Linked DNA regions of Oryctolagus cuniculus. The protein of the gene in region 3 interacts with the protein of the main gene of each other region in a pairwise test. Links are inferred from orthologs where the notes say so. Each region holds a gene or a part of one and is shown on either strand. Other genes may lie near its edges.

Region 1 (5,290 bases), on a different chromosome or scaffold from region 3:
TAAATAAGTTGGGGCCAGTGCTGTGGCATAGCAGGTAAGGCTACCACCCACAGAGCCAGCATCCCATATGGGCGCTGGTTCAAGTCCCAGCTGCTGCACTTCCAATCCAGATCTCTCCCATGGCCTGGGAAAGCAGTAGAGGATGGCCCAAGACCATGGGCCCCTGCACCTGCACGGGAGACCTAGAAAAAGTTCCTGGCTCCTGGCTTTGGATCAGCACAGCTCTGGCCATTGCAGCCAACTGGGAAGTGAACAAGTGAATGGAAGACCTTTCTCTGCCTCTCCTTCTCTGTGTAACTCAAATAAATAAATAAATCTTTAAATAAGTAAGTCTTTAAAAAACCAAAACACTGAATCATGCTTTGTCTCTGTGGCCACCTAGTGGCTGAAGAAACCACCTCTACTCCCATCAGTGTTCCTGGCTTCTATAGCCTGGCCTTTGGGAATGGCTCAGATGCTGCAGCCATAAAGGACTGTGATTGGGGGCTGCTACTGTGGCACAGTGACGCAGCGGGTTAAAGCACCAGCACTGTAGGCATCCCATATGGGTGTCAGTTCAAGTCCCGGCTACTCCACTTCTGATCCAGCTTTCTGCTATTGGCCTGGGAAGGCAGTAGAAGATGGCCCAAGTCTTTGGACCCCTGCACCTGTGTGGGAGACTTGGGAGAAGCTCCTGGCTCCTGGTTTCTGCTCTGGCCGTTGCGATCATGTGTGGAGTGAACCAGTGGATGGAAGACTTCTCTGTAACTCTTTCAAATAAATAAATTTTTTTAGAAAAGAGGGGTGGGGACTGACTGTGAAGGCTGGGACAGTCCTTGGGTATGCTGCTGAACAAAATCACACAGGAAGTAAGTGTTGTTTCTGTACTTATAGAATGCTTCTGTGTGTACCTCACTACCTTTGCATCTGATTAACTGCATTGCTGGTTTCCATGGCAACAGAAATGAAGTTAATTAAGATCAGGAAGTTAGAATCAGAGAAAAATAGTATTTAACAAAGTCACATCATGTACATTTAAATTAGTTTCTTTTTAAAAAAAATGTTTTGGAGTAGAAAAAATATCAGGCGGCCGGCGCCGCGGCTCACTAGGCTAATCCTCCTCCTTGTGGCGCTGGCACAACGGGTTCTAGTCCCAGTAGGGGCGCCGGATTCTGTCCTGGTTGCCCCTCTTCCAGGCCAGCTCTCTGCTGTGGCCTGGGAGTGCAGTGGAGGATGGCCCAAGTGCTTGGGCCCTGCACCCCATGGGAGACCAGGATAAGTACCTGGCTCCTGCCATTGGATCAGCGCAGTGTGCCGGCCGCAGTGCGCCGGCTGCGGCGGCCATTGGAGGATGAACCAACGGCAAAAGGAAGACCTTTCTCTCTCTCTCTCACACTGTCCACTCAGCCTGTCCAAAAAAAAAAAAAAAAAAAAAAAAAAAAATCAGGCTAAAGCTGTGCTTCTGAAGGATGGACAAGGTAGAACACATGAGTGGCACCTGAGCAGGTGTACGTCCACAAAACCCATGTGTTACAGCAAGGAAGACTCAGCCCTGTCACAATCCAGCCTCTGCTGGCTGCTTTAGATGAGCTTATATCACCCACATGCAATTATCAACAATTATTTCAAGGTATTAAAAAAGAACTTTGCCAATGACAGGGTTATTACAACAAACTAAGAACAATGCAGAACAGTCCCCAGTAATCTGAGGCTCAAAGAGAATTGGCTCTGGCCCCCAGTCAGAATTGCCTCCACATTCACACCAGTGGAAGGCGCCATGAATGGAGCCAGCTTTGCCACTGATAACCCTTTCTCAGCCCAGATGAAAGAACAGCTATTTTTATTGATGTGAGAGGCAGAGATAGCTCCATCTGCTGGTTCCCAGCCAGCAGATGGGAACTCAATGCAGTTGGCTGGTAGGTACCCAACTACTTGAGCCACCATCTGTTGCCTCACCGTGTCTGCATCAGCAGAAAGCTGGAATCAGAAGCAGGCCCAGGGCTTAAACCCAGGCATTTCAGATATGGGATGTGGGCATTCTAACTACTACGTGTAGACCCTGGGGGGCAGCAAGTAATGGCTCAAGTAACTGGGTGTCCCTACCCATGTAGGAGACCTGGATTGAGTTCCAGGTTTCCAGCCTCAGCATGACCCAGTACCTGCCACTGTGGGCACTTAAAGTGAGCCAGCAGTTGGGAACTCTGTCTCCTCTACCTGTCTCAAAAAGGAAAGGGAATAGATGGGGGGGGGGGGGACAACTGTCGAATTCTATCACTTGGCACCTGTGCTGCCTCTGGTGAAGACATTGGAACAGGACAAATGAATAGAGTGCCATCCAGCCAAGGGGCTGTATGCGCTTGATCGCTGCACAGCCCACCAGTATCCCAAGTTCCACAAGCCCTGACCCATAACCACTCTCGGGTGCCACTAGTAGATGAAACCAAGTGCTAGGTCCACCTGATGGGATGCAGCCAGCCCTCACTGCTCACCTGATGTGATTTTCCCCAAAGTTCTTTTCCTCCGGCTCGTCTACCCCCTCGGAGGTCTCCACTTCCGCTGACATTGTTGCCCAGTGGTTCTTGCTGCCCTCACTTTTGTCCTGTTGAGACACAAAGAGCTGATGATCCATCATGCATAGCAGACACGTCTCCAAACACCTGCCTGTTCTGCTCTCCTGAGCCAGCACAGCCAGGGAACACAGACACTCCGTGCTTTTCTTTACAACAGACCTCGGCCACTACTGAGACCACATCAGAATATGGACAAAGTCTGAATGCAGATGGTAGATTAGACAATGAGCATTACATTGACATTTGCTGTTTTTTCTTATAAATGTATAGTGGTTATAGAAATAAAAGTATGTCCTTGTTCTGAGGAAATAAACAGGTGTTCAGAAGTACAGGGGTGCACTATCTTACCATCACTGGTTCACAAGACTGGCATGTGTAAGCAGGTGCTAGGGTGACACGGTCAGTCAACAAAGCAGAGGAGCCAAATGCTGGTGTGAATCTGGGTTAAAGGTATAGAAGCGCTCTTTGTACTAATCTTTCAATTCTTTTCTGTACATTTGAAATTATATCAAAATAGTCACCAAAACATTTTTTTTTAAGTCTTCCAACAGTTTATTAGAAAGAATGCAGACATTTAAAAAAAATCCCCACTGTCATGAACATAAATTGAGGTTTTCAGCCCTGGTATAAGCTGAACCAGAAAAAAAAAAAAAAAAAGAAATTAAAAAAAAATTTCCAATAGTGTATTACATTTTTTCTCTCATTTGCCATACTGACAGTGCAAATACAAATCTGGTCTAAATGTACAGACTCTTAAGCTTTCTTCGTCCTCTATGCTAAGAGATGTAAAAGCTTAAGGGCCAAACAATATACCAAATGTATAGGCTTCAAAAACCATCTAAGTTAGGGCATTCACTAGTTTTAGCTAAGATACATCTGGAACACTGACAAGTGATCACTTACATAGAATAATGTGAAGTGAATTTTTTGAAAAATAAACTTTAGTGGAACACTCCTGAAGGATACACCAGAGGAATAGCTGGTTATCAGTTTAAGGTGTCAGCCAGTTTGTTTCAGCCTTTTTTGATTCCATGTTCTAAACCCTAAAATTTACTTATCTTTCCCTCAGCTGAGCACTTCCTATCATGTCAGTATCTATGTTATGAAGAAGTAAAGGAGACTTAAGTGAAATGTCTTTATTTATCACAACTGCTGTATCAATTATCTAGGACCTCAACAGCTTCATGAAGTCTGGGAAATGTTCACGCATAAGGTTATTGCCTTAGCTGACTTAAAACTGCCCCTTACAATGGAAATACCAACCCTTAGTGAAGCCTTTTAAAAAAACAAATAGGTTGAAAAATGGGTTAAAGGAGGCAAATACAGCATCCGCCTTTAGAGCTATCAACTCAGGAACTCTCTCAATTATGAAATTTTGCAGAGAATTCACTTTCTTTCTCAAATTCCAGGTGATGACTACACTCCTTATTCCAGATCCGGCATTCTTCCATCATCGCTGTCTTGTGAATCATCATTGCTCCATCTACTTCTGGCAAATCTCATCCTCATCACCACCCATGTTGTTCATCATCTCAGAGAAACGATCAAAATGCATCAGAAAGGCTTTTAAAAAGAAGCTGGGTGGGACCAGCGCTGTGGCATAGCAAGTAAAAGCCGTGGCCTGCAGGGCCAGCATCTCATGTGGGTGTCATTCAAGTCTCTGCTGCTCTACTTCCAATTCAGCTCCCTGTCAACACATTTGGGAAAGCAAGAGAAGATGGCCCAAGTGCTTGGGCCTCTGCCACCCACATGGGAGTCTGGGATGAAGCTCCTGGCTCCAGTGTGGCTCTGCCCTGGCCATTGTAGACACTTGGGGAGTAAACCCGTGGGTGGAAGATATCTCTGTCTCTCCCTCACTCTGTAAATCTTTCAAATTAATAAATAAATCTTTAAAAATAAATAATATGGGGCCGGCACTGTGGCACAGTGGGCAAAGCTGTTGTCTGCAGTGCTGGCATCCCTATGGGTGCCGGTTCGAGTCCTGACTGCTCCATTTCTGATCCAGCTCTCCTATGGGTGCCGGTTCGAGTCCTGACTGCTCCATTTCTGATCCAGCTCTCTTATGGGTGCCGGTTCGAGTCCTGACTGCTCCATTTCTGATCCAGCTCTCTGCTATAGCCCAAGTCCTTGGGCCCCTGCACCCAAGTGGGAGACACGGAAGAAGCTCCTGACTTCTGGCTTAGGACGGACGCATCTCTGGCCATTTAGGGAGTAAACCAGTGGATGGAAGACCCATATCTATCTATCTATCTATCTACCTACCTACCTACCTACCTATCTCTTCCTCTCTGCCTCTCTATAACTCTGCCTTTTAAATAAATAAATAAATGAATGAATGAATGAATGACAATGCTTAGAATGCCTCCAAGTCACATCAGAGTGCCTGAGTTTGAAAACTGGCTCCACTTCCAATTCCAGCTTCCTGCTAATTCACATCCAGGGAGGCAGCTGATGCTGGCCCAAGTACCTGGATTCCCTGCCACCTCTGTGAGAGCCCTGGATGCAGTTCCAGGCTCAACCTGTTTCACCAGGCCCGTCCCTAGTCATTGCAGGTATTTGGGGAATGAACCAGTGGATGGAAGATCTCTCTGCCTTTCAAATAAAGTGATTAAATAAAACCATCTAATAATAAAAGGATTCAATAAAACACAACATACCTGCAGAGTTCCTACATCAGCACAAGTGCCTTGAGGGCAGCTGGTCCTGTCAGCCTGGACAGAGGACCCAGAACAGGAGGCACT
Region 2 (5,997 bases), on a different chromosome or scaffold from region 3:
GAGAGAGAGTGCCCAGTCACTCAGACTGGGGGAAAGATCGAGGTTACATGGTTGAGTGGAAAGAGTACACCTGGGCAGGCCAGGTGGGCAGCTCAGCATAAAGGCAGAGGGCTGAGCGCGCAGTCTGGTTGAGGCCAGGGGTTTTTAAGGGGATGGGTCTTGCTTTCCCACCTCTGCTCCTCTTGGAACAAAGGACTTCTTGGATGTAAATACTAAAAACTCCTATCTGAGCTTTCCCCTGAAGTTATCCGATGGGTTGCCCCAGTTAGAGGAAGGATGGTTATTGGGTAGAAGATACTGGGCTGCCCCTGAAACATTATCGGGATGACCTTGAGATGCAGATGCTGGACCCAAATGTCTACTTAGGCCTTTGTCACACACACATAAGCTCATACCTGACTTCCTATCTAACAGAAGTGACTCAGTTTAGATAGGTGTTCATGGCACTAGTTCTTAAGGTGCAGTTACGTATTTTGTTTGACTATTTGCTTTTCTTTCATCTTTATCACTCATTTCAACTTTAAGAAAAGTGATTGTAATCTTGTACTTTCAAGTGTGTGGAGCCAGGTTGGGGTTTTCTTGTTTGGGCTTCTTCAAAAATGTTTTTCTATCATGAAGAATATGGTAACTTCAACTTCAAAAAATATTTTTTTACCATCAGATAATGAAGACAGGAGATAAACTTTAGGAGTACAAACAAAAGTTGGTTTAGGCATGTGAGATTTGTATGTGGATTCAAACTGATGAAGTCCTGTAAAAAGTCAACACAAGTGAAAGGGTTTTTTTCTGAAAGATTATTTGGATAAAACAAACAAGAAAACCAGTTAATTGAGAAGATAATAGGAATCGACTCAGGTTGATGGAAGACTCGATGTGTAGATTCTGCTCTTTTTTAGATCTTTCTTTCTTTTTTTCTTTCCTTCTTTCTTTTTGACAGGCAGAGTTAGTGAGAGAGAGACAGAGAGAGACAGAGAGAAAGGTCTTCCTTTTTCCATCGGTTCACCCCCCAAGTGGCTGCTATGGCTGGCGCTGCGCCGATCCAAAGCCAGGAGCCAGGTGCTTCCTCCTGGTCTCCCACACGGGTGCAGGACCCAAGGACTTGGGCCACAGCAGAGAGCTGGACTGGAAGAGGAGCAACCGGGACAGAATCCAGTGCCCCGACCAGGACCAGAATCCAGGGTGCTGGCGCCGCAGGCAGAGGATTAGCCTATTGAGCCACGGCGTGGCTTATTATGTGTACTTTTAACATCTTAAATGCTGTAGGGGAGACTTTGTGTTTGTTAGCATGTATTCTCATAGGTTGTCTATACATGACAATTCAAGACTATGTAACTATGGGTGTAAATTTCAGAAGGTGTGAGCAAGTCATAAAAAGTTTTAAGAAAAGTTTACAATTTTAAAACATTGTTCATAGAGTTTTCTTTTTTAAAAAGATTTATTTATTTATTTGAAAGTCAGAGTTACACAGAGAAAGAGGAGAAGCAGAGAGAGAGAGAGAGAGAGAGAGAGAGAGAGAGGTCTTCCATCTGCTGGTTCACTCCCCAATTGGCTGCAACGGCTGGAGCTGTGCTGACCGGAATCCAGGAGCCAGGAGCTTCTTCCAGGTCTCCCATGCGGGTGCAGGGTCCCAAGGACTTGGGCCATCTTCTTTCTGCTTTCCCAGGCCATAGCATAGAGCTGGATCGGAAGTGGAGCAGCTGGGTCTCAAACTGGCATCCATGTGGGATGCTGGCGCTTCAGACCAGGGCGTTAACCCGTTGCGCCACAGCATCGGCCCCAAGTTTTCTACAAGTTGAATGTGAATGCCAAAATTACATTGACCCAAGATTGAAGTCCAATCTTCTGTTATGACAACGAGGTTTTTGAAAAATGCATATTAATATGTTAGTAAATATCCATATCATTGCTTGGTTCCAGTCCTGGCTGCTCTACTTCTTTTTTTCTTTTAAATTTTTATTTATTTAAAAGAGTGACACAACACACACACACAGAAAGAGGTCTTCCATCTGCTGGTTCACTTCCTCACTTCCTTTGGGTCTCCCACAGGGGTGCAGGGGCCCAAGTACTTGGGCCATCTTCTGGCCCAGGCCATAGCAGAGAGCTGGATTGGAAGTGGAGCAGCGCCTCACTGTTACCTTACAACCATATCTTGGATCCGTTATTGGGTTTGTTCTTGTTAGCTGTTATCTTACTCGGACCAGCGCCCATAAGGGATGCCGGCACTGCAGGGGGCAGCTTTACCAGCTATGCCACAGCGCCGGCCCCGGCCCCGCCTGCTCTACCTCTAATCCAGCTTCTTGCTAATGTGCCTGGGAAGGCAGCAGAAGATGGCTTTGTCTACGCAGCCGGAGCTCGGCCAGCGCCGCCCCGCCTCGCCTGTAGCCCCGCCCCCTGCCCCGCCCCCTGCCCCGCCCCGCGCCTCCCCGCGCACCCGGAACTCCGCGTCGCAGTCGCGTTGCTGGAGGGGCCAATTTGGTCCCGGACTCTGCGCCCTACGCGGGTTCCGGCGGCGAAGGCGGAGCATGGCGGTGAGCGTGGCGGAGGCGCGCGCGCTGCGGGCCCCTGGGCTGCTGGCGGCCTCCAGTGACCCTGATGCTGCCCTCTTCTCTTCAGGCCCCAGGACGTCCTGCTCGCGAGGCCTCTGCGGCCTCAGGCTCAGGTACCGCCTGCGCGCCACGCAGACCCCGGGCCCCTGGCGCGGTTCCGGTGCCCCGAGTACTTCCCCTGTTTCCGTGCAGGGCGACCCACGTGCGGTGCCGCCGCCCGCAAAGCGAACCCCGCAGTCTCTGAGGGCAGTGCCGCCTCCAGGAAGTCCAAGAAGAAAATCCGGGACAGGGCTCCTGCGGCGAACGGAGGCCAGACGGCTTCGGAGCAGCCCGCTCCAGAGGAAGCCTCGCGAAGTGCCGAGGCGCAGGCAAGGGGGTCTCCCGGTGGCGTCTAGAAATCAGCCTTGTGGAGGCAAGGAAGGGCCTGGGGCGGCAGGTCCCGGTGCCTGCCCTCAGCCCCTCTCTCCACCCGTCTCAGGCGGAGCAGCTGGCCCGAGAACTGGCCTGGTGCGTGGAGCAGTTGGAGCTGGGCCTCCAGACGCGGAAACCCACCCTGAAGCAGAGTGAGTGGGGGTGTGGCGGTGGCGGCGCTGGGTGAGAGGAGGTGGGTACAGAGCGGGGGACTGGCCTTTTCTCTTATGCGCAGGAGAGCAGGCTGTCGGGGCCATACGAACCCTGCGCAGCGACAGGACGCCCCTGCCCCGGAAGCGGCAGCTGATGCGTGCCCTGTTTGGAGACTACAGGGCTCAGATGGATGCCGAGCGTCTGGAGGCCCTGCGGTCTCTTAGGGCTGGTGAGGAGCTTTGCGTTTTGGGATGTCCGGTTCAATAGAGAGGAAGGGCTTAGGGAGTGCATCTCTGACGCTGGTGGGGATGGAGTTGAGCTCAGGGAAGCCTGGGCGGGGCGGAAGTGTGGAGCCCTCAGCAAAGCAGAACTGGGCCTGGGCGCAGGGGGCAGAGGTTCTCGGAGGGGAAGGAGCCTGGCCCACAGCTGGCCCTGCCTCACCTTCCATGCAGCAGTTAGTAAGTCCTGGAACCAGCCATCCACCTTGCTCCAGTCCTGAAGCTACCACTTAGGTCGTTAGCACCCTTGGCAAGTTCTAGTTCTCTCCGTGATTCTGTAAGTCATGATAGGAACTGCCTTAGGATTCTCAAGATCAGTTGATTTCTGCTGAGGGTCAGGGTTGCATGAGCAGTCGTAACTGCACAGGTGCTGTTTGCTGTTACTCAGTCCTGACTCTGATGCCCTCTGCCCCCCCCCCCCCAGCTGCTCGGTCTGCCCAGGTGCAGCCTGTGGGTGAGGCCACCAGAAAGAAGAGCCGAAAGGTCTGCAGGCCACGTCCAGTGGGAGGCGCCAAGGCCACTGTGGATACTCCTGATGAAGAGTTTAGGTTCAATTTCTTTTAGCCTCTCCCCCATCAAAGAACAACCCCGGGATGTTGTCTTGAGTGCAGAGACTTTCCAGGAGGTCTCTGTTGGCAGAGGTCAGCTTCGTCTACAGCAGGGCTGTTGGGCTGCTGTGAGTGTCAGACAAGTGCAAGCCCCCATTTGTATGTTTTTGGATGACATGCCCCTCCTGGCATGAGAGAGAGAGAGAGGAAAATCTACAGGAAACAGAAATGAGTGTCATGAAAAGAATAATGTACTTTATTGGTTTTTCAGGCTTGGTTAAGTGCTCCTGGTAATAAGGATTAGTGGTGAAGCTACCTAATTGTACGCTGGGGCTCAGTTTTGAAAATAAGCCCATTAAATATTTCATTGCTTTATACCATTTTGTCTTATTGCCTCAGTCTCCACTTTTGATGGAAGTGGATGATTGAAAGAATGCTGAACATCTCTGTCTGAGGAAGTACACGAGCTGAGGGCCCAGCATAGTTGGGTCCAGGACCTCACCCGACGTGTGGTCCCTTGTCCTTGTTGCCCTCGTGAGCAGTGTTATCCCCAGGGCCGCTGTGGGTCCCAGCAGCACAGGCTGTTCAGAACACTGCGTCAGGCCCAACATCTCCGTCTGTCTTTTGCTTTCTGGTCAGTGGTGCTTCTGCCCACCTGGCTGCTTAGGTGGCAAACTTGTCATCTCCCTTTTTCAACACACGTCAGTACTTGAATGGTTGTCAGATCTGCGTCTCATCTGCACTGCTGCTCTTGGTTCCGGCCCCAGGTCTCAACCATGACTGCTGTGTTGGCCTGATGTCTGCTGCGTTGCCGCTCTGTGGGTGTGTCGGCTCATGGTTCTCCTGACTGAATGGCTTCATTAAACCCAGACTACGGTATGAAAACTGACACACAAGGCCTTAGGGCAGGAGCGTCACGATGGCTCTGACATAACCTCCCGCCCTTGTTCCAGCCTCTCTGGTTTCTTGTTTACTCCTGAAATAACCAAACGTTATCCTGCCTCAGGGTTTTCAGCATTACTGCTCATTTTATGTGGGTTTCCTTGACTGGCTCCTGGGAAAGCAAATATCAACGGGCTTCGTCCATTGTTTACTAGGCGAGGTAATATCCTGTGAAGAGACTCAGCAGTGTTCACAGGAAGTGGTTCCCGCTTGGGCACAGTGCAGATGTAAAGTGTCAGAATGACCCCTTTATTTAGTGTCTGCTTTCTTGCTAAGAATGCTGTTTGTTGAAATCACAGACAACCGCTTTGTTGTCAGGAATGGTGGGTAGAAAGGAGACAGCCTGATCTCAGGAGGATGCCCTGGTCTGTATGTGAAGCAGTTTCACACACGCGGCTTGTGGAAGCCACTCACACCTCTGTCTTGATTCTGTGCATTCTCGGGAAATAGCCTAGTCCATGTCACAGTTGAGACCTGGTGTTATCCCAATTACACCTCCCTGCCTTCTGTTCCCATTTAGATTCCACCTAAATGCCCCTCCCGTAAATGCTGTAACGTCCCCTATCTCTGCGGTGAGGTGCCCTGTGCATCTGAGTATAGTCTGCCTGGGAATAAGACAGTAAACTGGGGTTACACAGGTTAGTCCCTGTTGGCTTGGGATGCTTGGGCTAGGACAGTCTTCATCTTGGATTTTGTCGCTTCCTCTCCCATTCCCCATTCGCAGTTTGACCCTTTGCATTGGGTATATTTCTAGGAGTTGGGAGGGCCTAAGAAAGGGAACACCAGGGGAGATCTTCCTTTCCTGATGTCTGTAGTTACATTCCCTCTCTGAAACCCATCTGGGCCCTGTTAAAACCACCTGTTCCTTGGTCCATTCTGCTTAAGGGCTCAGGGTTTACTTTTTTTTTTATTTTTTTTTATTTATTTTTTTTAACTTTTATTTAATGAATATACGTTTCCAAAGTACGAATAATGGATTACTATGGCTTCCCCCCCATACCGTCCCTCCCACCCGCAACCCTCCCCTTTCCCACTCCCTCTCCCCTTCCATTCACATCAAGATTCACTTTCGATTATCTTAATATACAGAAGATCAGCTTAGTATACATTAAGTAAGGA
Region 3 (5,290 bases):
TGGGTCCCACCTGCCAGGCCCAGCCAGACCTGCCCGTGCTCTGCTCACCCGGCTTACGTCCACAGAGGTAGAAGGCCAGCCGGTCAGTGAGCTCATACTGGCACTCGACTAGCCTTTCCGCCAGTTCATGGTGCCCGGCCTGCCTGTGGGGAGGGGTATGGCTCAGCCCTGCAGCAGCAGCCCACTGCCCCCACCGGCCAGGCCTCACCCCCTGGCCGACCCTCACCTGGCATAGTCGATGGGTGTGCGGCCATTAACGTCGGGGGAGCCAGGGTCAGCCCCGTACACGACCAGCAGCTCTGCCTGCAGCGTCTGCCCTGCCTTGGCAGCCACGTGCAGGGGTGTGGTGCCCTTCTCTGGGTGGAAGAAGTTGGCCTGGGCGCCCAAGGACAGCAGGCGCAGACATGTCTCCAGGTTGCCGGTCCGCACGCTTGAGTGCAGTTGCTGCAAGCAGTGGAGTGTGCAGTAACTGTGCACGCGTGTGCACGAGTCCTGCCCCAAGCTGCCCCTTGCCCCGCTGCTCCCCGCAAGCCCACCAGCTCCAAGGGCCTCAGCCAAAATCTGGCCATGTCAGGGAAGACAGAAGGCTCCCCACCAGGAGTGAATGCCAACGAATAAAAACTGCCTTCAGGGCTGGCACCCGGTGCAGCAGCCAGGATGCGGCCTGGGATGCTCACATCCCCATCCAGAGGGCCTGCTCCAAGTCACAGCTCCTCCACTTAGGAACCAGCTTCCTGCTAATGTACCGAGAGGCTGAAGGGAATGGCTCGAGGTGCCTGGGTCCCGGTCGCCCACATGGGAGACCTGGACTGAGCTCTGGGTTTCTTGCTTAGACCTGGCCCACCCCTGGCTGTTGTAGGCATTTGGGGAGTGAACAAGCAGCTGGGCGATCTCTGTCAGCCTTTCAAATAAATAAAAATAAGATTCAAAAAATCGTAACAACTGCCACAGTCACCAGCCGCTGTGTGCTTGTATGCTCTGCCAGGAAGCCATATCACCTATGAGGTAGTTGCTATTATTTCTTTCCCATTTTACAGATGAGACCACTGAGGCTCTGAGAGCCTTCGCACCTGCCCTTAGCTTCTGAGTGGCAGCTGGGGGACGTTAGCCTCATGTGCACACTCGGGAGCTGAGGCGCCTTGGTCACACACAGCCTGATGGAGCAATCTTGTCCCCTGCTGTGGCCACTGTTTTCCCCTGGCCAGGCAGCCCTAGGGGCCTCGGGCTCACTGGTCATGAAGGAGAGGCCCTCGCGGTGTGTGGGGGTGGGAAGCAGAGGCCCGCCCCTCCCTCGCAGGGCCCCCCGCACCTTGCTGAGGTCTTTGGCGGTGACCCCATCATCGTCCCGGCAGGGAAGCTTGTGCACAAACGCCAGCATCTGGTACTTGGCCCTGATGAACTCGGACTTGATGGGGCTGCACGGCACACACAGGAGGAAACGTGTGTCCCCGGCCACAGCCCAGGCCACGCACGCCCTCCCCGCCGCCCCTGCAGCCCCACTCACTGGACTTTGTCTTGCGGGTTGGCTTTGCGCCGGCCGCTCTGCACTTGTGCGGGGTCCAGCAGGGAGTGCTCCCAGATGGAGTTGGCCCCGTTGCTGGCGAGCGTGTGCACCATCTGCGGGGAAAGGCTGCCAAGTGAGCGTGCGCCCACTGCGTGCTGGGCATCGGGGACCCATCCCTAGTGCACGGAAGGGACCTCCTGTGGGTCTGCCACCCCACACCTGCAGCCAGCCAGGCCACCCAGAGGCCTGGATCCCATGGAGCATGCCAAGTGCCTTGCATGGCGCCACCTGGCTGCTAGGAAGCTGCAGAGTCGGGGCAAGAACTGGCTGTGTTTGTGAGCGCAGCAGGGGTGAGGAGGGTCAGGGTCAGGGTCAGGGTCAGCTCTGCCTAGGGGATGCTGCCCCGTGGAAGCTGCAGATTCCACCGAGGGTGGGGCTGCGGTGGGGAGGACCTGAGCCCAGGCCTGGGTCTGCAGGGAAGGAAAAACCACATGGCCCACCCCTGTACCTGCAGCAGTGTGGGAGGCCAGGCGCTGTGGCGAAGGTGCTTGACAATGGAGATGTGGCGTCCCAGGCTCCGGTGCACACTGCAGCACTCGTCACACACCAGCACACCCCTGCTGATGGATGCCCAGCCAGGGTCTGCCGGCGTGGAGGCAACGGTCAGCCAGAGCCAGAGGGCAGGCGAGACCTTCTCAGCGCCCACTCTGGGTCCACACCACGCTCAGAACTTCACGCGTGCTCACCTGCTCATACTCGCGGTTAGGCCCGGGTTACCAACAAAGGCTTTCTCCCAGGGCTCACAGGTGGGAATGGCAGGGCCACGACCTGTGCTACACATCCTTGCTCCTTTGGCGCCATGTGGTCTCCAGGGCCCATTCAGTGGGCACAGCTCCCTGTCCTGTGGCCACAGCCTCAGTCTCCCAGCCTTTCCCCAGGGAGCAAAGCTGCTGCCCTACCCCTTCCCGCAGGGAGGCAGGAATCCCCTAGGGGACGAGACCTTGATGCCATGTGCCAGACATCCCTGGATACCCTCCTCTCACAGGTCAGCCCCAGGTCTCCTGCACCTAGGGCCTAACAGCCAGACCGCCCATGGGCTCCTGGTGCTGGCAGGTGCGAGGGTCTTTCACGCCGCAGCCTCCTGCCACATCACTGATGGTGGGGGCCGCAGCCCGTCTGGAGAAGGGTGGGCAGAGCCGAGGCGCTAACCGCGATGAAGTGAACACCGTGCACCACTGGCTGTTTTATGCGTGATGCCTCTGAGAACTGTGCGGCGAGGTAGGAAATGCTGTCCCTGCCTCACCGATGAGGAGACAGTGGCTCAGGGAGGTTAGAGGGCTTGCGCAAGGTCACACAGCTGAGGATCAGAAGTGCTAGGATGTGGGCCCAGGCACTCTGACGGCAGACCCACGCCATGTCTACACTTTTGCTGTCCCTCCTCTGCCCCTGCAGCTCGGCCAGAGCCCCGGGAGAAGCGGGGGAAGAAAACTTGGCAACAAGGGAGCCAGGCCTGGCTGGAAGTACCCAGGGTCCTCCTCGAGGGTAGCGGGGATACCACCCATCCCAGGCCCCCTGGGCGAAGGGGAGGAGACAGCTGCATACAACTCAGGCTGCGGAAAGGTCACGGGGGAGAAAGCGGCCATTGTGTAGGCTTGCAAGTGGGGGCGGGGAGCTCTCCCTGGACACTGTGCTCTGCCCAGGGCTCAGGAAGCCCTGGCCTGGGGGCGGGCAGGGGGTGGGGTACTGGCTCTCTGCCTTTCCCCACGGCCTTCAGGATGTCCAGAGTGGGTGGCCCCTGGGACGGGGACAGCTTGGGGTGATGAGGACCTCTCCTAACCAGAAGATGACTCCCGGGCCGCGGCCGTCCAGGACTCCCATCCAAGTTCCCAGGAGAGCTGTGTGGAGGCTCTGAGTCAGGAGCCCAGCCTCGGCTCTGGCCACAGCGTACAGGAAGTAAATGAGAGGGCTCGGTCGCTAGGTGCAAGTTTCGTCAGGGACTCCCCAAAACAGGGCAGGAGAAGGATCCAAAGAATCCACAATGTGTCACCATATACCTTCCTTGGGCCATGAGGCCCAGACCAGCTGTCCGTGGCAAGAGGGGGAGCCCTGGGCGCACTGTACCACTAAGGCATGGAGGGCGGCCGACCCCCACTACCAAACACCACTGGGTCAGGGGTCTGCCCGCCAGCCACCTCCGGCAGCGCAGGCAGGAAGCCGGAAATGATGCAGCCTAAATTCTTCCTGCTGAAATGGTGGGGTTTCCTGTAAGTGGGGAGCCGCCCAGGCCAGGATCATACATGGGCCGCCCTGAGGCCTCCACCCCAGGCCCGTGGCCCTATCAGAGAAGCCAGGCCAGGAAAAGCTAGCGTTATAGCCAGGACCAGCGGTCCAAGAGCCCCAGGTTGTGGGCACACCAAACATAGTGAGCCCCTGGATGCGGCATTGACCAAGGGCCCAGGATCTGGGGAATGTGGCCTCAGGCTTTGCTTGGTCCCCTCACCCCCGCCTGTGGGAAAGGCCCTCCTTCTCCTCCATGGTGACCTGAAATGGAGACCTGCCGTGGTCTGGGCCACACTGGTGCCAGCTCACTTCTGGATGATACCGACAGAGGCGCACCCTAACTGTCTTACCTACCACCTACACCCAAACAGCCTCGGGTCTACCCAAGCATGAGCCCCCAAGTTCCACCTAAGCCAGTTCCTAAGAGAAGAAGCAGGAAGGGTTTCTGAAGCCAACTAGCTACTGTAGCTTAGGGACAAAGCACCCTTGCCACCAAGAGGCTGGTCAGCCCAAAGAGCTAGGGGCTGGGGTAGGCTGCTCAGAACCCGCCACCCCTCACCTGGCTCCAGCTCCACAGCTGGGGTGTGGTCTGCTATGCGAGGTAGGTGGCAGGGGGTCTCGGATGGTCCGACCCCATGGAGGCCTCTACCATGTCACTTCCTGCCACCACAGAAGCATTAGTGGCCGCAAGGGCCAGCACATCTGCTTATAAATACCTCTCTCCAGCACTAAAGCTCACACAAGAGGGAGAAGCCAGCTGCGCTGAGGCAGGCGAGGGCAACCCAAGGGGACAGAGGGCAGTTAGCCCTGGCGGGGCATTAAGGAGCTCAGGGTGTGGCCTCACGGCTGCACACACACATCCGTGTCCACAAGGCCCAACACGCTGCAGCAAGAGGAAGCAAGCCCACCACTCGCCCCGCCCCAGGAGCTGCGTTACGCAGAGGTCAGTGAGCCTGCAGGTTGTCCATAGGATGGGCATCCTGAGGCCTTCATTCCTGCGCCTTGGGCTGCCAGAGCAGAGAGGCTGCTGTGGGGACCTGGGCTGGGCCTGGGAGCTCAGCACTGAGGCCACGTGACTAGAGGTAAAGGACAGGGGACCGCGTTCTCCAGGGCTCCTGACCCCTGCACCTCTCTGGGACTGTGGTGTGAATAGGGATGCAGACTGCGGCTGACCAGGTGGCACCCGCGGCCATGCCACGTCCAGTTGCCTCAAAACATGCTCAAACCTACTCTCCACAGGCCCAGGCCCGGGACCCTCTGGGGACCAGCTGTACCTCCCCAGTGGACCAACTATAAAAAGGGCGTGACCCCAGGGCGTGACCCCAGGGCTCCCCTGACAGCGAGAGAAGCCCCCCTGGCTGGGGGCTTCACTGAGGAGGGTGGCACTGGGTCTGGACCCCAGGCTGCTGCGTATTCACAGGCCCCAGAACACCCATGCCGCCACACACCACGGCCAGCGTCACGGGGTAGGGGGTCTGCAGCCCTGATGAACACGCACGTCCTTGG
Region 4 (6,050 bases), on a different chromosome or scaffold from region 3:
CCAGCACATGGAGGATTCTTTCTTTCCCTCTTTGTGTAGCTCTTTCAAATAAATAAATCTTAAAAAAAAAAAAAAAAAAGAAAAAAGGCTTGATGCTTTGATTAGTTTTCTTTTGTGGTACTTAATTACTTCTGTTTTCCTGGGAGACTAATAACAGTTTACTCTTCATTTAAGTGTCACTGTGGTCTGCCAGCACATTGGCTTCCAAGATTCTTGTCTGCTCCCATGGCCCAAAGGGTCAAGAACCTGCTCCGACATACTTTGAGTATGGAGTCACTGAGGAACACAGAGCAGGCCTCAGTCAAGTTGTCCAGGGGTTTTTCTGAACAGAAAGGAAAGGATCTGAGGCCTCTACTCACCCATTATCTGATTCTAGGCACACCACAGGAATGTCGGTGGGGTCAGAGGTTAGCTTTGCTGCTTGCTGCGCCAGAACAGAGATCACTCCAGCATGCTCATCTGACAGCGTCCCACGGCCTGAGAGAGAGAGAGAACGATGGTATCAGGGCACCTGGTGAGCCACAAGTAAGTTTGGAGCAACAGTATCTCACTGAATGATTCACAAAGAGGAGGTTCAGGTCCTGGTCCTTTAAGTTTGGTGCTTACATGAAGTGACTGTTCCCTGACGCTCAGTGGTTACATCAGTGAGAAAGCCGGGCAACAAAAATCAATAAATCAGTAAGCTATAACTGACACACCTATCACCATCTGTAAACAGCTTCAACATACCAGGACGCTGTAATTCAGGTCACTCTGAAAACCATAAATTCACTGGATAGGAACCTTGCGAAAACAAAAAGCTTAGAGGTGAGATTGACAAAAAGCAGTCAATACGCGCAAGAGGCTTGCTGAAGCTAATTCATTCCTCATGGGAAAGCGGATTTCCTCTCCTGAGGAGTCACGCAGTCTCAGATCTCCTCGATGGCACGTGTGAACATTCTGTGAGCAGTTATTTCTGCTAGCATAGCTACTTGGCTGTTTTCAAATGCCCACACGATTGTCTTCTACTCCTGACTGCTTTAGCTTGTATATGATAACGGAACCTTGGGTCCCAAGCACAAAATGTAACTGCTGAGTTTACTGTGTCCTGTATGTGTGTATGAAGGCAGGCCAAGCAGAACCGTGCCTGTGGCTGGTGGGCAGAGGGATTTCCTGACAGCAACTCACCAGCACGGCGCCATCTTTTGCACCTTGAAGCTTTCTTGAAGCAACTCTAATAGAGTTTCACACTTCATTTCAGTATTTCCATTAGTGAGTCTGGCAAAAGCGTCAAAACATTTGCCTTTTTTCTCCAAGCAACTGAGTTATAGATTACCGCTTTGTTACCCTTGCAGCAAAAATTCAGAGCTTTAAAAATTCTTGCACTAAGACGTGTCCTGGGTTTACTAGTTCTGACATTAACTAAATGCTCTAGTTATCTATCATTTTCCTTATCTATCATTTCCTCATCTGTGATTGCTGTCATTCTCTGAGCATGTTCCATCTGGGTGTGCACTGTCTTAAGCATATTATATAATCTCACGGCATTGTGATTGAAGAGGCTTTGGACCCTGACACCATTTCTAGCTCAGCCAATTACCGCCCTATGACCCTAGGCAAGCTACTTTACCTCTGTGCCTCACGTTGGTTGTTAGGAGGAGTGCGTGAGTTACCATTAGAATGGTACCTGGAACTCAAGGAAGAGCACGCAATTCTGTAAGCACTAGTCTCAGTAAACAAGAGCCCAGTGAAGCTATGCCATGGAGGCCGGTGCCATGACACATCTCTGATGCCGGCATCCCATATTGGCAGCGGTTTGTGTCCTTCTGCTCCATTTCTGATGCAGCTCCCTGCTAAAGGTCTGGGGAAAGCAGTAGATCGCCCAAGTGTTTGGGTCCCTGCCACTCTTGTGGGAGACCTGGATGATTCTGGCTTTGGCCTGGCCCAGCCCTGGACATTATAGCCATCTGGGGAATGACTCAGAGGATGCAAGATCTCTCTGTCTCTCCCTCTCTCTAATTCTTTCAAATAAATAAATAAATATTAAAAAAAAAAAAAAGTTCCTGAAAGGTTCATTTAGGCCCAAGTTCACACAACTAGCAAATGAAAGAACGGGGTGGGGGTGGGGGGAGTGTTTGAACTCAGCTGTGCCAAACTCAGAATCTCCTATTTTCACTGTTGGTGTACTTGGACTAGAACACTGCACCCACCCATCATGCAGGGATACTGTGGAAAGTGCAGCAAGGCAGGTGGAGCCTCGCATATGGCTCAGCACATGCTCACAGCTCTCATGGGCGAGTCCTGTCTAGGCCCAGTTTGAAATGACTCAAATACTATTTGGTCAACACCAGGTGTGGCGCAGTCCAGCAAAGGGTTGGCAGGAGATACTTACAGCCCAGATTGAGGCCTTGTGAGTCTGTGCACAGGACTCCAACAATGGACGGGTTCTTCATCCTAATTCCAGAAACACAGGAGAGGTGAGGCAGAGGGCTTGAGAAAGTGGATGCAAACGGTTATGACGCCCGTGGGCCTGCCATGCTATCAGGCATTGCCTAAGTGCTTTAAATGGGTTTCTCGACCTCTTTCCTACCACACTCCCCAACCCCGAGCAAAATTAAAGTAGTAATTGAAGCCAGCTGCAGAGAAGAATGAGTATCTGCTGGGTTTGGGAAGCCTAGGCGCACGCAACAGTTCGGATGCGGGGTTTTTCGCCGTTCTAACCGCACGCTTTACGTAACAGCTCAGGTAAGACAACTGGACAAACTAAGAGGCGTTGCCTCCCGGAAGGGAAGTGGGATGACGAGGGAGTGGCTGGGAGGGTGGTGTCTGCACGTACACCTTAGACTTTTGCAGCTTTGAGTTTACACAGACGTTAACACATTTAAGGAACAGGTATTTCCTTAAACACCAAATGACAGATCGCACACACGATCTGTGTGTGTGTGTACCCGGTGCGGCCGACGGCACACCTGCGACACCCTCCTGAACGACCTAATCCTGCGGACGGCGCCCCGAGAGGAAGGCTGCGGGCCCCAGCGGGATATTAACTTCGGGCCACCGGCCCCGTCCCCTCGGCCAGCCTTCTGGGGTGGCACGGCGTCCCCGAGCCGCCCTCCGGCGCTCGCGGGTCTCGCCCGCTGTCCCGCACGTAACCCGCGCTGCGACCTCAGAACTGGCCGGAGAGGCCCGCACTGCTCACGTGTCCTCCAGGTGCTGCTCCAAGGTCGCCTCCATCCCGCCGGCCGGCAGCGCACCCCCGCCCGGGCCCCCGGAGCCGTCGCGTTCCGCTTCACTGCGGGCCTCCGTCACGTGACGCGAGCCTTCCGCTGCCCGCGACGGCGCCGCCGATGGGACAAAATTCGCCGCGGCGCCACGTCCGAGTTCTCTCCCGGAAGACGGCGCCGAGCCGTGCTCCCGTCTCCCTGAGGGTTCGGGCTGCGCGGGGTGAGAGTCTGCAGCCAGGCCCCAGCGCCTCAGTTCCTGGCCTGCAGTCTGGCCCAATGGTTCTTGTCCGTTGGTCTCAGTGCAAACGACTCCGAGACCCAAGGACAGGATGGTGTTTGACAGTAACCCTGCGGGCCCGGCGGGATGGAGCAAGTGGCCAGAGGAGCCACGGGCTCCTTGAAGGGCGTACACCCGGGACAAAGGACGAGGTGGCCCGCGGGTAAAACCCGGAGCGGGGCGCTGGCAAAACGTGTTGGAATTTTAACTAAGACACTGCTTTTCCTGTGATCAGGGCTCAGGAAGGTTTGGGGCCAGAAGGTGCCGTGTGATACCTAACGCATAAGGAGGACTGGGGTGACACTCCCTGAAAACAGCTTTACAAGCTGTCAAAGCCAAGATTAAAAATAAAGGAAGGAAACCAGCCACACTTCCCACACTTCCACTGCCAGAAGTGACTGCAGTCCCTTTCAGGTGGATGTATTTGCAGAGGTATGCTCTAAATGGCTTTTGTTCTTTTCTAAGCAAAAAAAAAAAATATTGGACATGATTCCTTTGCTGAGCCTTTGCACAGGTTTTAGCATAAATGTCTGTTCGTGTTAATAAATACTTAGTTTTGAGGCCGGTGCTGTGGCACAGTGGGTTAAAGGCTTGGCCTGAAGCACCAGCATCCTATATGGGCGCCGGTTTGAGCCCCAGCTGCTCCACTTCCGATCCAGCTCTCTGCTATGGCCTGGGAAAGCAGTAGAAGATGGCCCAAGTCCTTGGGCCCCTGCACTGGCGAGAGAGACCCGGAGGAAGCTGCTGACTTTGGATCGGCACAGCTCCGCCATTGCAGTCATCTGGGGAGTGAACCAGCGGATGGAAGACCTCTCTCCCTGTCTCTACCTCTCTCTGCAGCTCTTTCAAATAAATAAAATATTTAAAAATAAATACTTAGTTTTTATTAATTGCAAAATATTCCATGTCTCAGCCGTATGTGCTTTAACTGACTTGACCAACTCCATGTTAATGTACAGTTTGGATACTAGCTTGCTGGGTGAATATCCTCTTGGCTAAATCTCTGTGCAGTTTAAAATTTTCCTGGTAAGCTACTAGAAGTGGAATTACCGGGCCAAAGGATATGGTTGTTTTTAAGACTTGATGGACGTGAATTGCTGGCACAGAGGTAGTGCCAGCGTGCACTCAGATGGTAGCACTTTGGTGAAAACAGGAGCGCACCTGTGTGTCCTGCCAGTTCTGCTAAGCCTCGCCTTACCGGAAGCGTGCTTGAGCCCTCTCACCTGCAGCTGTTACCCGGGCTCCCTGCTGACTATGGCCAGCTCAGGGCGCTTTCAGCCTGGAGGGCAAAGTCCCTCTTCATTCCCAGAGGTCAGAGGGGAGCTTCCAGCTTCCTTCAAATCCCACTTTGTGCGTTGCTTTTCAAGGGTTTTGGATTCCTGCCCTAGAAGAGTTATTTCTGGTAAAGGACAACACAATATGGACCATAGACATTTTTAGGAAAAAGGATTTAAAAGCTGACCTCACAAGATTGCAATCAGACATGTAAGTGAAGTACTTACTAACTACTGGAAACCAAGTTGTGACGGCTGGCTGGGGAGCCAGCCTGCTTCCTGCTGGTCATGCGTTGCAGGACCGCCCCCTTGTGGTTACTCGGTGTGTAACGTTTTACCGGGCTGCGAGGTGCAGCCTTGGGTTTTTGGTGTGTGCGTGTGTGTGTGTATGTGTTTAACCTCTTAGGCAGCCTGCAAACAGAAATAAGATGACAGGGCACTCCTTATGTGAAATGATCTGGTAGCCACATCAGAGAAGTCTAAAAACATGTGAATTAACTTTTAAGAAAATATTTTACATACCCAGACAGTATATCCAAAATATCCTTTCAACATAAAGTTTTCAAAATCCAATGTACATTTCATGCTTACCAGCCCATTTCCATTCACAGGATCCACGTTTCAAGTGCTCAGCAGCCGTGAGAGGCTGGCAGCCACAGCAATGGTCAATGTGGCTCCCGCGGATCTCAGATGACCGCCAAGCCAGATGGCACTGAGGCTGCTCATTGGTATTTAGGCTGCAAGGAATGCCGGCAAAGGGGAACAGAAGGAGGAGGATGGCAGTGGGCACACACCAGAGGCAGGAGGGCAGCCTGCTCCGCCAAGTGGCTCGCTCTCTGCTGCTACTGGTTTGCCCCATGCAGTCTGGCACAGGGAGCATTTGCCTGCTAGTATTTTTTTTAAAGACTTATTTATTTGAAAGTCAGAGTTCTGAGGGGCAAGGAGAGTCTTCCATCCTCTGATTCACTCCCCAGATGTAATGGCTGGGGCTGGGCCAGGCTGAAGCCAGAAGCCAAGAGATTCCTCCAGGCCTCCCATGTGGACAGGGGCCCAAACACGCGGGCCATCTTCTACTGCTTTTCCAGGTGAATTAGCAGGGAGCTGGATTGGAAGTGGAACAGCCAGGACTTGAACCGGTGCCCATATGGGATGCTAGTGTCACAGGTGTCAACTTTACCTGCTGCGCTGCACTGCCAGCCCCTGTACTTTTTTTATGCTCACTTTGTAATGTCGGAAAGAGCTCCTTCTCTGGGTCTGCCTCCCGAGTGCCACAGAGCACCACGGGAGTTCCATAGA
Region 5 (5,290 bases), on a different chromosome or scaffold from region 3:
TTTTTTGACAGGCAGAGTTAGACAGTGAGAGAGAGAGACAGAAAGGTCTTCCTTCCATTGCTTCACCACCCAAATGGCCGCCATGGCCAGCGCACTGCGCCAGTCCGAAGCCAGGAGCCAGGTGCCTTCCTCCTAGTCTCCCATGCAGGTGCAGGGTCCAAGGACTTGGGCCATCCTCCACTACCTTTCGGGGCCACAGCAGAGAGCTGGACTGGAAGAGGAGCAACTGGGACAGAATCCAGTGCCCCAACTGGGATTAGAACCTGGGGTGCCAGCGCCACAGGTGGAGGATTAGCCTAGTGAGCCACGGCTCATTTTTAAAACTTTGCCGGAGGGCGGGCAGGGAAGCAGGAGCAGCGAATCCCATTAGGATGGGGGTGGAGTTTGACACTGGTGGTTGGGCCATGTGGCTACCTGGCTTTCAGCATTGGCAGGGGGAGCCAGGGCATAGATCACGCCATAGATAAAACTGCACCATTTTCCTAACACTTAAGAATGAGTATATTCAATGGCAAACCAATCTTTATTTTTACCACTTTTCAGGCATCTCGAAGATTTATGATTTGTATGACTCCTAATAAATTAGTCAGGGAAAGGGAGGTTAAAACTACACATTCTGGCCGGCGCCACGGCTCACTAGGCTAATCCTCCGCCTTGTGGCACCGGCACACCGGGTTCTAGTCCCGGTCGGGGTGCCAGATTCTGTCCCGGTTGCCCCTCTTTCAGGCCAGCTCTCTGCTGTGGCCAGGGAGTGCAGTGGAGGATGGCCCAGGTCCTTGGGCCCTGCACCCCATGGGAGACCAGGATAAGTACCTGGCTCCTGCCATTGGATCAGCACAGTGCGCCGGCCGCAGCGCGCCGCCGTGGCGGCCACTGGAGGGTGAACCAACGGCAAAGGAAGACCTTTCTCTGTCTCTCTCACTGTCCACTCTGCCTGTCAAAAAAAATAATAATAAAAAACCTATACATTCTGAGACCACCGCCTGCAATACCCCTGTTAGTTTGAATCCAGCCGCTCCACTTCTGATTCAGCTCTCTGCTATGGCCTGGGAAAGCAGTAGAGGATGGCCCAAGTCCTTGGGTCCCTGCACCCTCCTGGGAGACCCAGAGAAATCTCTTGGCTCCTGGCTCCCGGTTCCTGGCTTCAAATCAGCTCAGCTCTGGCTGTTGTGGCCATTTGGGGAGTGAACCAGCAGATGAGAGACCTCTCTCTCTCTCTGCTTCTGCCTCTCTGTAACGCCACCTTTCAAATAAATATATAAATCTCTGGGGGGAAAAAAACACTACACCTACTGAGACAGGAGTTTAGCCAGCAGTTACCAATTAAGACACCCAAAGGCCTGGGTTCACTGTCTGGCTCTAGCTCTTAACTCTAGTTTCCTGCAAATGCAGACCTTGGGAGGCAGTAGTGATGGGTGTCTGAAACTAACCACGTGGACAACCTGTCTGAGTTCCTGGCCTCCACCTTCACTCATGTCCAGCCCAGTCTGTTGCAGGCATTTGGGAGTTGAACTAACAGATGAAGGTTCTCTTTCTCTGCTTCTCAAATAAGTGAAACAAAAAAATAAAAATAAAAAGGAAGGGGGGTGCATTATGTTGTGGCACCCCTACAGGAGTGCTCCACCTTAGTGCTAACATGCTCCAGCTATTGCAGCCATGTGGAGAATCAAAAAACAGATGGAAGAGCTGTCTCTTCCTCTCTTGTCCCCCTACCTTACAAATCAATCAATAAATAAAATCTTTAAAAAACAAATAAAATTATTCCTACTTAAATAAATCTTTACAAACAAAATTAGTATGGACATAACTGTAGAGAGAACACGGATTTAAGATACATAATTTCAATGTTTAAAATTAAACACTCATACCTTTCTAAGGTTCATTACCTCATTTTTTAAAAAAAGAAGGCATTTGACTAAATAACCACTAACGCTATTTCTATACACTTTGGCCCAAATTTCAAAATAAACAAATTCAATGATTCAGTTCAGACAACCGTTCTCCCATAACAACCCCTGTAAAGATATATTTTACTTACATTCTTCCTACGCCTTCATACATGTTAGTCTCATCTACCAAAGTCATAATTTCTGTATCTGTAAGATGTGCATGTTTTTTCGTTCTGTTCAGTTGCTCAATCTGTATGTCTGCAAGCTTCACTTTCTGTTGAGTGTCAATAACTTTGGCTTGAAGCTCTGTGAAGGCCTAATAAAAATAGGTCCTTGATTTAGTAGGTAAAACATTTTACAGCAAACATGTAAGCCAAACCCAAATACATTAAAACAAAACCTGTTTTCAATTCACAAAGCTGTGAAATTTACCAAAGCAAATATCAGTAAGCTTACACTATAATTATAAATGATCAAGTCACTATGCTAAATACTGAATTTACCTGTCCTTAGAAGATGCAATCAACCTGAAGCAAAAATAAATGCACATTAAAAAATAACCATACCAAGTATCAACTACTCCAGGAGTTTCAGATGATGAAACCCAAGGATTCAAAGAAAAAAACACAGGGGCCAGTTTTGTGGCACAACAGGGCTAAGCCATCACTTGCAAATCAGGCATTCCATCTCTGAATGCCTGTTGGTTCAAGTCCCAACTGCTGCACTCCCAGACCAGCTTCCCATTAACACGCCTGGGAAAGCAGTGCAGGATGGCTCCATGCGTGGAGCCCTGCCATCCCTGTGGGAGATCCAGATGGAGTTCCTGGTTCCTTGCTTCAACTTGGTCCAGCCCTGGCTGTTGCAGGCATTTGAGTGAAGCAGCAGATGGATGGAGGATTGATCCTGATACTTCTGCCTGCGCCTCTGCCTCTGCCTCTGCCTCCGCCTCCATCATCTCCATCTCCCATCTCTCCCTCTCCCCACTCCTACCCTCTCCCCATCTCTGCTTTTCAAAGAAACAAACCTTAAGAAAAAAAACATAAAAGTAACAACTCATTCCATCTGTACTACACAACTAGGTTTCAAAGCATTTTCCCACATTAGTCTGAAATGTTAATATAAGAAAATTAATGAAACTATTAAAGAGGGATATAACACTTAACTCATTTATTCTTCCAAATAACCTTGAGTTAGGGACAAGTTTCACCATCCACAATTTATAAATTAAGTAACTAAATCAATTGAGATAAAAGTGGCTTACATAGGGTTGAACGACATAAGATTCAAAAGGAAGGTATTAGAATCATTTTCTTCTGACCCCTTAGTTCAGAAATCTTTCACTTTTATTATCTACAGAAACATTCAGAACATGAATATTTTTAAGAAAATTTGTGCCAGCCCCGTGGCATAGCAGGTAAAGCCACCACCTGCAGTACCAGCATCCCATATGGGCATCAACTTGAATCCCAGCTGCTCCACTTCTGATCCAGCACTCTGCTATGGCCTGGGAGAGCAGTGGAAGATGACCCAAGTCTCTGGGCATCAACACCCACATGAGAGACCTGAGGGAAACTCCAGACTCCTGGCTTTGGATCCCACCAGCTCCGGCTGTTGCAGCCATTCAGGGAGTGAACCAGCAGATGGAAGATCTCTCTCATCCACTATGGACACCAGCTCAAATCCCACTGCACCACTTGCAATCCAGCTCTGTGCTATGGACCAGGAAAGCAATGGAAGGTGGCCCAAGTGCCTGGGCCCCTATACCCAGTGGGAGACCTGTAAGAAGCTGCTGGCTCCAGATTGGCACAGCTCCGGATGCTGCAGCTATTTAGGGAGTGAATTAGCGGACAAAAGATCCCTCTCTCTGCCTCTGCATCTCTGTAATTCTGCCTTTCAAATAAATAAATCTTTAAAAAAGGGGGGCCAGTGATTAAAGCCACCGGCTGCAGTGCCGGCATCCCTTAAGGGCACCAGTTCGATCCCAGCTGCTCCAATTCCAATCCAGCTCTGTACTATGGCCTGGGAAAGCCGATGGCCCAAGTCCTGGACCCCTGCATCCACACAAGAGACTCGGAGGAAGCTCCTGGCTTCGGATCTGCACAGTTCTGGCCGTTGCAGCCATCTGGGGAGTGAACCATTGGACATTAGACGCCTCTCTCTCTGCCTCTCTGTAACTCTTTCAAATAAATAAAATAAATCTTAAAAAAAAAAAAAAAAAAAAAAACCAGAATGTAGGTCTGTAGATTCCTCTCTCTCTGCCTCTCTGAAACTTTGCCTTTCAAATAAATAAATCCTTTAAAAAAAAATAGGGGTACAAAAAAGAGAGAAAATGCAAAACACTGGCAGAAGTCTTGCATCATGATCTTCATCCACACACACCAAGCCAAATTTGATCCTTGAGTACACTTAACTCAAACATAAACCCAGTTCTTGGATATTCTTGCTGAAGTGCCTTGGAATGACTTTCACACGCTGTCAGAGTTCTGCCTTAATAACAACATTCTGAATGCAATACCTGGCAAAAGCCACCACCACACAGCTTTTATTCCTTCTTCTCACAGTTCACTATGGTGCATGCCTTCCCACTGCAGTGCTTTGCTATTCCCAAATAAATAAGATTATTTGAAGACTCTATGTGTTGTGCTTCATTCAGAGTTGCATATCTAGCAAAGTTTCAGAAGATTTACTTTGGGGAAGAAGAGATGTCTATATTTCCTATTAAATACCACTCAAAAAAATAGCTTATGAAGACATTAGGAAATAAAACTGATACACGGAGCCAATGCTAGGGCACTGAAGGTTGAGCCTGCAGCAATGCCATCGAATTCTGGCTGTTCCACTTCTGATCCAGCTTCCTGCTAGCTAGGGTGCCTGAGAAGGCAGTGGAGGATGGCTCAAGTCGTTGGGCCCCTGCACCAACATGGGAGACCAGGAAGAAACTCCTGGCTTTGGCCTGGCCCAGCTCCACCATTGCAGACATCTAGGGAATCAATCAATGGATTCTCTCTCTGCTTCTGCCTCTCCCTCCCTTTCAAATAAATAAATCTTTAAAAAAGAAAAAAAAAAAAAACTGATATACGTTTCCTTGTTAATTGGTTGTCAAAATTATTCAACTTGTCTATAATTTTTTTTTTTTTTTGACAGGCAGAGTTAGAAAGTGAGAGAGACAGAGAGAAAGGCCTTCCTTCCGTGGGTTCACCCCCCAAATGGCCGCTGTGGCCGGTGTGCTGTGCCGATCCAAAGCCAGGAACCAGGTGCTTCCTCCTGGTCTCCCATGCGGGTGCAGGGCCTAAGCACTAGGGCCATCCTCCACTGCACTCCCGGGCCACAGCAGAGAGCTGGCCTGGAAGAGGGGCAACCGGGACAGAATCCGGCACCCCAACCGGGACTAGAACCCGTGG

The links.
Region 1: the proteins of GIT1 (region 3) and HMOX2 interact in a two-hybrid assay, tested with the Homo sapiens proteins (2 studies listed by BioGRID and IntAct). The link is inferred for Oryctolagus cuniculus from reciprocal best matches to the Homo sapiens genes GIT1 and HMOX2.
Region 2: the proteins of GIT1 (region 3) and C6H8orf33 interact in a two-hybrid assay, tested with the Homo sapiens proteins (2 studies listed by BioGRID and IntAct). The link is inferred for Oryctolagus cuniculus from reciprocal best matches to the Homo sapiens genes GIT1 and C8orf33.
Region 4: the proteins of GIT1 (region 3) and LAMTOR5 interact in a two-hybrid assay, tested with the Homo sapiens proteins (2 studies listed by BioGRID and IntAct). The link is inferred for Oryctolagus cuniculus from reciprocal best matches to the Homo sapiens genes GIT1 and LAMTOR5.
Region 5: the proteins of GIT1 (region 3) and PFDN1 interact in binary tests that used the Homo sapiens proteins (3 or more experiments, as listed by UniProt). The link is inferred for Oryctolagus cuniculus from reciprocal best matches to the Homo sapiens genes GIT1 and PFDN1.

What each region holds. Positions count from the first base shown.
Region 1 is NC_091450.1:31,091,943-31,097,232, forward strand, and holds part of HMOX2 (heme oxygenase 2), read right to left. Parts: intron 5,256-5,290; exon of another isoform or gene 5,207-5,255; intron 2,579-5,206; coding exon 2,469-2,578; intron 1-2,468.
Region 2 is NC_091437.1:168,507,195-168,513,191, forward strand, and holds the start of C6H8orf33 (UPF0488 protein C8orf33 homolog), read left to right. Parts: upstream 1-2,312; 5' UTR 2,313-2,327; coding exon 2,328-2,528; intron 2,529-2,613; coding exon 2,614-2,659; intron 2,660-2,738; coding exon 2,739-2,914; intron 2,915-3,024; coding exon 3,025-3,109; intron 3,110-3,192; coding exon 3,193-3,339; intron 3,340-3,562; coding exon of another isoform or gene 3,563-3,609; exon of another isoform or gene 3,610-3,812; coding exon of another isoform or gene 3,813-3,952; exon of another isoform or gene 3,953-4,311; intron 4,312-4,703; coding exon of another isoform or gene 4,704-4,783; exon of another isoform or gene 4,784-4,812; intron 4,813-5,997.
Region 3 is NC_091448.1:45,045,237-45,050,526, forward strand, and holds part of GIT1 (ARF GTPase-activating protein GIT1), read right to left. Parts: intron 2,147-5,290; coding exon 2,013-2,146; intron 1,618-2,012; coding exon 1,505-1,617; intron 1,416-1,504; coding exon 1,310-1,415; intron 445-1,309; coding exon 227-444; intron 144-226; coding exon 49-143; intron 1-48. UniProt on the Homo sapiens protein: GTPase-activating protein for ADP ribosylation factor family members, including ARF1.
Region 4 is NC_091438.1:59,943,043-59,949,092, reverse strand, and holds the start of LAMTOR5 (ragulator complex protein LAMTOR5), read right to left. Parts: upstream 3,311-6,050; 5' UTR 3,214-3,310; coding exon 3,179-3,213; exon of another isoform or gene 2,434-3,178; coding exon 2,372-2,433; exon of another isoform or gene 478-2,371; coding exon 360-477; exon of another isoform or gene 1-359. UniProt on the Homo sapiens protein: As part of the Ragulator complex it is involved in amino acid sensing and activation of mTORC1, a signaling complex promoting cell growth in response to growth factors, energy levels, and amino acids.
Region 5 is NC_091437.1:27,957,237-27,962,526, forward strand, and holds part of PFDN1 (prefoldin subunit 1), read right to left. Parts: intron 2,206-5,290; coding exon 2,039-2,205; intron 1-2,038. UniProt on the Homo sapiens protein: Binds specifically to cytosolic chaperonin (c-CPN) and transfers target proteins to it. Binds to nascent polypeptide chain and promotes folding in an environment in which there are many competing pathways for nonnative proteins.